2 linked regions of the Caenorhabditis elegans genome follow. The protein of the gene in region 1 interacts with the protein of each later gene in a pairwise test. Each region holds a gene or a part of one and is shown in the gene's direction. Other genes may lie near its edges.

Evidence for each region. The genes of interacting proteins can lie anywhere in the genome.
Region 2: the proteins of unc-16 (region 1) and unc-104 interact in a protein complementation assay, tested with the Caenorhabditis elegans proteins (one study listed by BioGRID).

The regions. Positions count from the first base shown.
Region 1 is NC_003281.10:9,544,475-9,549,345, forward strand, and holds the start of unc-16 (JNK-interacting protein), read left to right. Parts: upstream 1-1,820; 5' UTR 1,821-1,884; coding exon 1,885-1,950; intron 1,951-2,196; coding exon 2,197-2,325; intron 2,326-2,905; coding exon 2,906-3,185; intron 3,186-3,276; coding exon 3,277-3,457; intron 3,458-3,522; coding exon of another isoform or gene 3,523-3,579; intron 3,580-4,091; coding exon 4,092-4,213; intron 4,214-4,316; coding exon of another isoform or gene 4,317-4,347; intron 4,348-4,697; coding exon 4,698-4,866; intron 4,867-4,871. Other genes in the region: ZK1098.9 (uncharacterized protein), read left to right, coding at 1-118, 483-604; ZK1098.12 (DUF2975 domain-containing protein), read left to right, coding at 768-800, 851-925, 969-1,070, 1,119-1,247, 1,296-1,394. UniProt on the Caenorhabditis elegans protein: The JNK-interacting protein (JIP) group of scaffold proteins selectively mediates JNK signaling by aggregating specific components of the MAPK cascade to form a functional JNK signaling module.
Region 2 is NC_003280.10:6,993,040-6,998,040, forward strand, and holds the start of unc-104 (Kinesin-like protein unc-104), read left to right. Parts: upstream 1-1,947; 5' UTR 1,948-2,147; intron 2,148-2,894; coding exon 2,895-2,994; intron 2,995-3,518; coding exon 3,519-3,669; intron 3,670-3,716; coding exon 3,717-3,885; intron 3,886-3,935; coding exon 3,936-4,114; intron 4,115-4,407; coding exon of another isoform or gene 4,408-4,571; intron 4,572-4,746; coding exon of another isoform or gene 4,747-4,852; intron 4,853-5,001. UniProt on the Caenorhabditis elegans protein: Motor protein involved in microtubule-associated anterograde transport. Regulates the transport of synaptic vesicle precursors in the axon of DA motor neurons. Regulates the polarized sorting of axonal proteins.

The DNA.
Region 1 (4,871 bases):
CCATCTAGCATGCTAATGATAGTTTCGGCTGTCTTCGGAGGTATCGGAATCATCACTACAATCGTGTTCGTGATTCTGACAGTTCTTCATTCAAAAAGTGCGGTTTGTAAACCTGCAGGTTAGTTTTTGTTGCGAAATTGTGCAATTTTTACCCAGAAAGTACGGTTCCCGGTCTCGACGCTACAATTGTTAAATTCTGAAAGGTGTGTGCCTTTAAAGTGTACTGTACTTCGAATTTTTAGACTTTTATTAGTTTTTCGATATTTAAATATTTATTTATTTATCTGAAACTATGAAAAATCGATGCAAATTCCATAACAACGAAAATCTGAAATTACAGTACTCTTTAAAGGCGCACACCTCTTTGGATCTATCAAAAACTTTGCCGTATCGAGACCGGGTATCGTATTAGCATGACGAAAATCGCAAAATTATCTGGATAATATAGTAATGCTGAAGAATAAAAATTTGCACATTTTCAGGCAAAGAAGACATGAAAAAACTGAACGGTATCGAAGGAATGCAAACGATCAAAGAAGAATGTGGAGGATCAACTGAAACATCCTCGTCGAAACCGAAGAAAAAAGCCAAGAAAGAAGTCTGATTTTTTTTTTTTGAATAAATTTTAAATTTCTTCGTGAAGACCTTTTCTACGTTCTTTTAATTTATAAAATAGACAACACTTTTAACTTGATTTCCTACTCATTTCGTTAAATTCAAATCTAGCAAAAGGGTTATACGGTTACAAATCTTTGTAAAGTAGAAATATGCTTTTGAACAAACTCATTGTGGCAAATATTGTGAGTTTCTAGTTTTCAGCAGATTATTTGGGAATCTTCTTGGTTTTCAGATGATTAGTGTGACTGTTCTACTCCAGGGAACTATTCCAATGGGGTACGTATCTGGACTCGCGTCATTTTGGATGGTAAATTCTCATCTTAAAGACGTTCCTAACTCTACGTTTTCAGCTCTCAGCAGGTAGCGTTTTCCTCGTACTCGCAGTCATCACATTCATCGCTCTGTTGTTTTTGAGTCGATCTAAATGCATGTTGGCAATGAGCCAAAGAAAAGTAATTCCTAGTTTTAGAAAGTTATTTTACATTCTACAAAAATTTCAGTTGGCCATCTATCATGCTCCAGCACCAGTCACATCGTTGCTTTCGCTCATCTTCTTCATCGTGTACACATTCAGTGCCAAAGCTCCCCACGAGCATACAGCAATTAAAAACTGCATTGTGCTTCTGGATGTAAATTATATTAATCGACATGATTTTCTCTTTAATCCAACAATTCAGGTCGGAGTGGGAATTGTTCTGATGATTTCTCTGGTGCAAGTGCTTCTAGCGTTCCTGAGCCACCCGGAATATCCTGAGGAAGATAATGATGAACGTTGATTTATTTCGTAATAAACTGATTCTTTCGTATTTGTTTTTTCATTGTTTTAACACATGTTGTCACACTAAATTCGTGGTTTTGACGCAAAAATAGCCTAAGAAACACATAATTTTGATAGAGTTTATATAAAAATTCGTAATAGCGGCGCAAATTGAAATTCTATTCATGCAAAACTTCTAATGAAGTGTTTTTATTCTGAATTCAATAGAAAAATAAATTCTGAAGCGCAAAACGGCAAAACCCACTCGACATGCGTGTAGTGCGTGACGCACAAAACGCTCCTCTTCCGCCAATTACCGTATTCTCTCATCCACGAGATTCACACATGCGCCCAGCCTTCTTTTATTGATTTTCTGTCGCCGCGGCGAAGGAGTGGCACTTTATTTACATAGCTTTTTTCATTGCAAAGCACAAAAGCAACATAATTTGTAGAATTGTCTCGTCAACTTGCTCTCACATGGACCAATAATCGACAGAACGACTGAAAAAATGGCTTGCAATTTGTCACCGGTGAATGAGATGGCAGACTCAATTACGAGCAGCACACCGTCTGAGGTAAGTGGTGGCAAATGAACCATTGTTGCAACCGAGTGGCAGCAGCAGCGTCTCCCGATAGTTATCTCGGTTCTCTTATCGTCGCCCCCTACTACTATTCCTCGGCCAGTAAATACCGTTATGTTTCTCTTCCGCACTTCTCTCTTCATTATTGATTGTCGCTAGACACAACAAAACAGTTGGGACGGGTAATAGGAGGATTTTTTTATGCTGCATTCGATATTGATGGGAGAAATGTTATCTCAGATTGTGTACGGCGGCCCCGGCTCACCAGATGAGCATCGAACAATGTCGGATAAAGTGCAGACAATGGCTTCGGCAATTTATCGAGAGTTGGAAACAATGATAAAAGTTCACGGAGAAGATGGCGTGAAAGTGAGTTTTTTCGGAATTTTACTTTAAAATTTATTTAAATGGCTGTTTTCGCAAAAAATGTCCCAAAACAACCGGATTTCATAATAAGACTGATGGTTTTGAAAAAAAAAACGCTTTCTTTCTTCTGAAATCTTCAATTTTGCCAACTTTTCCGTGTCGCAACGGCCGGAAATGAATTTTTATTGAGCATCATTTCGATCTTGCTTATTTTTAGTTGCCTATCGCTTCAAATGTACCAAACTCAACGAAGTAACACGAGATAAACGACAAAATAAGCGAAAATCGAATGAAAATAAATTTCCGACCGCTGTGGCACGGAAAAATATGCAAAATTGTAGATTTTAGCTCATAGTTAAATATTTTTCAAAACATAGAATCGTCATAATTAATTGAAGAACTTTTAAATGATATTTTTACGAAATTCGGACTTTTTAGACCATTTTTTGATCAGAAATTGAAATTCTATGTTTTTACTCTACTTCAATACTAAATTCAGTATGTTAAACCAGTCAGCAGGTAAATTTATGCTAATTTTCTTCTCTCTTTCTCTATTATCATTCAATAAACTAAACATTTTCAGACTCTGATGCCATTGGTTGTAAATGTGCTCGAAGCATTGGATCTTGCCTATTTGGAACGTGACGAGCAGACTGCAGAACTTGAAATGCTCAAAGAGGACAATGAACAGCTTCAGACACAATATGAACGTGAAAAAGCACTTCGAAAGCAGACAGAACAGAAATATATTGAAATAGAAGACACGTTGATTGGTCAGAATAAAGAGTTGGACAAAAAGATAGAGTCACTTGAATCAATAATGAGGATGCTCGAGTTGAAAGCCAAAAATGCCACTGATCACGGTTAGTTTGTTACAGTTAGTTAATTGTCACCTCAATTATTAACTCTTGTGTTTTTCTTGGATAAATTTTTAAAAAAAGTATTATTTTTCAGCCAGTCGTCTGGAAGAACGTGAAGTGGAACAAAAGCTCGAATTCGATCGTCTCCACGAACGATATAATACTCTATTACGAACCCATGTAGATCACATGGAACGTACAAAATATCTAATGGGAAGTGAAAAATTCGAATTAATGCAGAATATGCCATTGCCAAATATGCAACTTCGAAACAAGTAAGTTTAATTTAATTAAATTTAAAAAAGTGATTAATATTTGACTGTTGTGTCGTTGTTTGTAGTTGGTTTCCAATATCACATCGCTTACATAAGAGTGGTGATCAAAGTAATTTGTCATTGTGAGTTTTGTGTCTGGAATTTTTGTTATTTTTCGGGAAGGTTTTTTTATTTTTCAAATTTTTGATTTTTTTTCGATTTGGTTATCCTCCACTTCACTCCAAATTTTGAAGCGCATGAAGAAATAAAAATCACCAATTTTTTTGAATTTATTTTATTTTCTTGATTTTCCAAATTTTTTATCACTGCTCTAAATGTCAGAAAAGAGATCATAATTACTGTTTAAAAAAATTTTCTAAATTTTTATGTTTTCTCCAATTTTGCAAAAAATGCGATATTTGTTGTTAAATTCCCGCAAACGATATAGATCTTTGAAAATGCTTCAATTATATTTATTGTTTAAAAAAATTGTATAAATTCGCTCATTACGATATACAATTTAAAGCAAAATTCCCAATTTTATCATTTTCCAAAAAGAATTTTGTTAGGCAAACACTTCTTCCACCTTTAATAACTTGGTTCGGTCCCCTAAAATCAAAATTTTAATTTTTAAAAGATATTATTTAAATTACAGAATGGGCATGGCTGCTTCTGTGGATGCATCATCAATTCGTGGAGTATCTGATCTTATTTCTGCTCATATGACACAATCAACCACGATGGATGTTAATCTTGCAAATCACATCACAAACGAAGGTGAGTTTTTTACGCGACCCTTCACAAATATGTAAAAATACAAAAAATTCTATATATCGCAAAATTTAGTTTATTTATTTATTTCCGATAATTTTTAACTAACATGAACTCGAATCCTCAACTAACCTTTATTGGTATGCCAGTTTTCTTCCGATTTCCATGCTGCAAAGGTGCGGCACGGGTTTTCGCAACCGCCGCGCGTTTTTTTAAAACTTTTTTTAACAGGAAATTTCCAACGGATTTTTTTCTGTAAATTCACTTATTTTCCAACTGCATTGGTTTATTGCTCAATTTTTAGACCTTTTTGGCTTAAATAAACCAGTTCAGTTGGAAAGAAATTTTAAATTTCCCATTAAAAAACCATTTTTAATTGTATTCCGTACGATGTTTCCTGTTGAAAAGTGAAAAAAAACCCGCTCCGCACCTTTTCTCAATGGAAATTGCAACCCTCATTCTTTTAAATCTTAAAATACTAATTTTCCAGACTGGCAAGACGAATTCTCATCAGATATCGAACCATCACCCAGGGATATTCCACAATCATCTGCTGATGCGTTGACTTCACCAATTACAACCAAAGAGCCGACTCCTAAACGAGAAGCTGCTTCACCGAAACAATCAGAAGAGGAAGAAGCTGACGAGACAACTTCTGTGTAAG
Region 2 (5,001 bases), on another chromosome or scaffold:
CCCCAGACGTCGTGCCTCCAATCGATCCATTTGTGGAGCCCGCGTCGTCCACAGAGCTTCTGCCGTTTCATCTCTGCGTCTCGTTCACCCATTAGACGTTGTGCTTCCTCCCTGCCTGAAAATAGCCCCACACAACATAGACTTGCTCTTCTTTCTTCTACTTTTTTTCTCATTCTTTTTTCTCCAGATACGCCTTTATTCAAATGACGTGTTTCTTTTTTTTGTCTGTTCAAAAACCAACAACTCATGATCATCAGATGATGATGGTCAAAAATCCCTTCCGGTTTTCCTTTTCTTCCCAAATTTTGGCTTGGACTTTTTTTGAATTATGACACCAAAACATGCAACGACGTATATATATGCAAACGTAGAATATCGAGTTTCAGAACCGAATCATTGTCGAGATTAAAAGGGAGGAAATTGATATGTGATGGAAATAGATTGAGGGCTGAATTTTTGAGATTGAAAAAACAATTGTATAATGTAAGTAGATAAAACAAAGCTGTATTGAATTTATAAATATCTAATACATTTTCTAATACAAAAATAAATTTGATTTTGTACTTTTCTTAAAAAGTGATCAGAATTTCCACTAGATGTTTTTGGCAACAATCACCTGATAATTGGATTAAAATTTGACAAAACTGTTTAAGTACAAGCGAACTAGATGAGAATTTCTACCTTTTTCTTTCAATTGAATATTTTCGTATTCTATCCCTCCGTGCTTTCATTTTCCATTGACGTTTTATGGTTCAATATATATCCTAAAAGTTTTCCTTACCCTTTCTCCTACTAGTTTCATCTCTTCTTCTAAATAATTAACATTTCTTTATTTAATTGATTTCTTTCCATTTCACGTCATTTCTTCATTTAGCACAACATTCTTCTTTTATTCCCATCCAATCGCCTTCTCCGTTCATTCCGGCCCCTTTTTCAGCTTCAAATTGAACAACAAAAACACATTGCGTGACGATAAAACTTCCAGTTCCCGTCTTCAAAACGTCATTCCGAGAGACTATTCGCCTGGAACCCTCGCCTTTTTTTCATTATGTGCTCATCCCTAAAAGAGCCAAGAGCTCTCAAAAACTGCTGGGGATCTTCGTGAAAAAATGTTTGGTTGAAAATTGTTGAAGCATCTTGAATTACCATTTACTAAAGGACCAAGTATACATTTTGAAATAGGCTCCGAAAGATTGAAGCATATTTTGAACTAGATAATATTAATTAAATTCATTTTGTTGGTGTTAACTTTTATTTTAAGTTGCGAGCATGTTACCGTAAGAACCTTTTTCATTTTTTATTTTAAATAAAATTTTACAATTTGTCTTGAGCAACTTGTTCTATAAGTGATATCAACTTCAAATTAGTGAGCATATAAAATTAAAATGAGAAAAAACAATAGCGTGGATAGAAAAATCACCATAGGCCAGGAAAATCTGTAAGAGATTTTCCCGTGTTAGCTAAACTTTTGAAATTGTTTACATTTTTAAAGGTTATGTTTTACCATCTGATTCTTTACAGATCGGTTTTTTTTAACATATGACAATAGTTTTAACCTTTCGTTTTTGAACCTTTAAATTTGAAAATCAATAGTTTTCATTAAATACTCATTGATTACAGTAGCCATTGGAACTTTATGTCTCCTTTCGCTGACCTTAGGGAACATTGTGCCAAAATCAGTTTTGCTTCCAAAATCAGATTCTATAATTTCTACACTGTGACTCACAAAAACCAACCAAATTCAATCATTTTTCTGTATCCTGCCTTCTTCTTTTTTCGAATGTTCTTTTTCTCCTTGTTTCTCTTTTTTCCATGTTTATCATCGTCATCTGTTGCTTCTTCTCGGCTTCTCTAATTTCAGCCCAACCCCTTTTTTTTCCTCATCTAATTAAATTCGCCTCGAGGCTCCGTCCTCCTCCATCTCTATCTTTTTCTCTTTTCTCTTCCATTCCGAACTTTTTCTTTCCCAATCGACCATCTATTCGAAGATTCATTGCTGCCTTTTTTTCAGCACTCTTCTTCATTTTTTTTTTCGAATACACATTCAATAGAAAACTGGAGAAGAAGAGGAAAAGCATCGAGGAGACGATAAGTGGGGCTCAACGCCATTGGATGATTGACTCGAGCTGAGAAGAAGGACTCAAGAGGTGAGCCAAAATTGCAAAATAGAAGAAGAAAAAATAGAAAAACAAGAGGAAAGGGAAACAAATGTCTTGTTATAGATGTTGATGTGTGAAAAAAAACGATATAGAAAAATGACATGGCTGAACGGAGTTATTATCTTGACTTGAAAGGCGGTATTCGAAAAATTCAGATTTTACGTTAAAAATTCCCTTTTTAACTCAAAGTACCCAAAAATGGGCTAAAATTCAAAAATACCACAATAGAACACTTAAAAGATTCTGTAAGTTTGTAGGACTGCATTTTAATCCTAAAAATATGGTTTCAAAAAAATTAATTCATGTTCTGAAATGTTACTAAGGTTTTGGAAAGATCGCAATGAGCTTTAACTTTTCAAGATTTTTCTTCAAGAGTTGGTAAAATTTTTGACATCAGTAAACTTGTAGTTTTAAAAAACTTTTAAAACCCCTTTTCAATTTGTTTCAAAATTTCAAAATGTTCAAATCTTAATGCTTAAAATTGAAATTCAATGAAAATAGATCACAATTCACGTCATTTGGCATTTGCTTCTTTTCCCTGCCTGAGCCAACATTTTCTAATCGAATCAACCATTAATCTGTTTTATTTCGTCAATTTCTTTTTTCCTTCTTTCCTTATTAGCATATATCGATCTTACTTCAATTGTTTAAATAAATCTCAATAAACAAGTTCAAAATAACATGTGAATTCCAATTTCTACGAACGAATTCTTGAATTAATTAAAACAATTTCAGATGTCATCGGTTAAAGTAGCTGTACGTGTTCGCCCATTCAACCAACGGGAAATCTCGAACACTTCAAAATGTGTCCTTCAAGTAAATGGAAATACGACGAGTAAGTGCCCCAAGGGATTTAGAAATGGCGGGTGACATTTGAGACTGAGTTAACCCCTTTCTACGAAATATTTTCCGAGAAAAAAGGATAGGCTGCCGTCCCAAAATGATGCGAAAAACGTTGGTGACGTCCAAGAGTCTTTGGGAATAATTGAAAAGATGAGAGAGAAGCAATGCATAAAAAAGAACAGACGGGGTCTTGAAATGAATAAGAGGAATTAAAAGATATTCTGGAGGTATGGGATTCAATATTGGGATCTACCATTGAGCAATACCACCACATGTTTCGTTCCGTGTTTCTAACACAGAGTTTTTGAAGCATAGATAGGTGTTCATATTTGCGTTGGAGAGTAGTGATCTCCAAGATATATTTTTATACACAGTCTTTAAATGTTTTATTTTTAAATTTTAATTTTAAAGAATGGTTGTAAAATATGCTCAATTCAAAGCTCCCTGATAACAATACATGATACTGTAGTAGCATACTGTATGAACTGTTTCAAATTAAAATATTCCAATTTTCAGCAATAAATGGTCATTCAATTAACAAGGAGAACTTCAGTTTCAATTTTGATCATTCATATTGGTCGTTTGCGAGGAATGACCCACATTTTATCACCCAAAAACAAGTATATGAAGAGCTCGGAGTTGAAATGTTGGAACACGCATTTGAAGGGTTCGTTTGATGTACATAGATTAATAGTTTAAATAATTGACTTCTAGGTATAATGTCTGCATTTTTGCATACGGTCAAACAGGATCAGGAAAATCATATACAATGATGGGAAAAGCCAATGATCCAGATGAAATGGGTATAATTCCACGTTTGTGCAATGATTTATTTGCACGAATTGATAATAACAATGATAAAGATGTTCAATATTCTGTAGAGGTAATTATTTTTGATACATTAATTCATGGAAACTAACAATATTATTACAGGTATCGTATATGGAAATTTATTGTGAACGAGTAAAAGATCTTCTGAATCCTAACTCTGGAGGTAACCTAAGGGTTCGTGAACATCCTTTACTTGGACCTTACGTCGATGACCTTACCAAAATGGCAGTTTGTTCTTACCACGACATTTGCAATCTGATGGACGAAGGAAATAAAGCGAGGTGAGAGAGTGAGAGACGGAGAACATTAGAGAAAATCAACGGAAGTATCATGGCAAACTAAACCAAGTTTAATGACCGGGGGTATACACAGGTAACCCGCGACAAGCGAGCGATGACTTGCATGCAGGCCGCGTGCAAGCGAATGTAGAACCAAAAACACGCGTGTACGCGGCCTATCCCTCGCCTGTATTTCGCTTGTTAGCGGCCCATCGTTCGCCTATTATTGACATGTCTGTGAGATGGAATCCTTCCAGGATTCGTTCCACCCGCTTGTAGTTTTCACTTTCTTTTCTTATAATATGACAACAGTAGTTTATTTAAATAATATTTATTTAAGAAAAATTTCCAAAAATGCAAAAAAAAATTAGAATTTTTCGGGATTTTCCCTCGTTCCGCTGTCTCTGCTGCACTTGGTTGCTCTGTAGATGCTTTTCCGTGGCGTTTCCGATTGGCTAATCTGAAATTAAATACATTTTTGTATAAAATTGTGTTTTGTTTGCGAAAAATACAATATGAACTGAAAAGTTAAAGGTAGAGTTAAGTCAATTTGCGGTTTTGCCATGAATGATAGCAAAAACCAATTTTGCAAAAATAAAAGAAACATTTGAAGCTAAAATAAGCTAAAATATTACCTCTTTCAAGAAATCCTTGGAAACTGAAGCGAATTTTCAATATCCCCGCGTTCATCCATCGTCTCCGCGCTGCGTGACACGACGGTCGGTGGCTGTTCGGCAATCTTTAAATTTTGCATTATTTCATAGTTTATAAGAATTCAAAGAACAGAAATTATAATATCCCGTCTCTCCTTGCAAAAAACAATAGAAAAAGTGAGAAAAAGAAAGAACATCCAATTCTCATAACAAAAACTACGATAATTGCGAAATAAT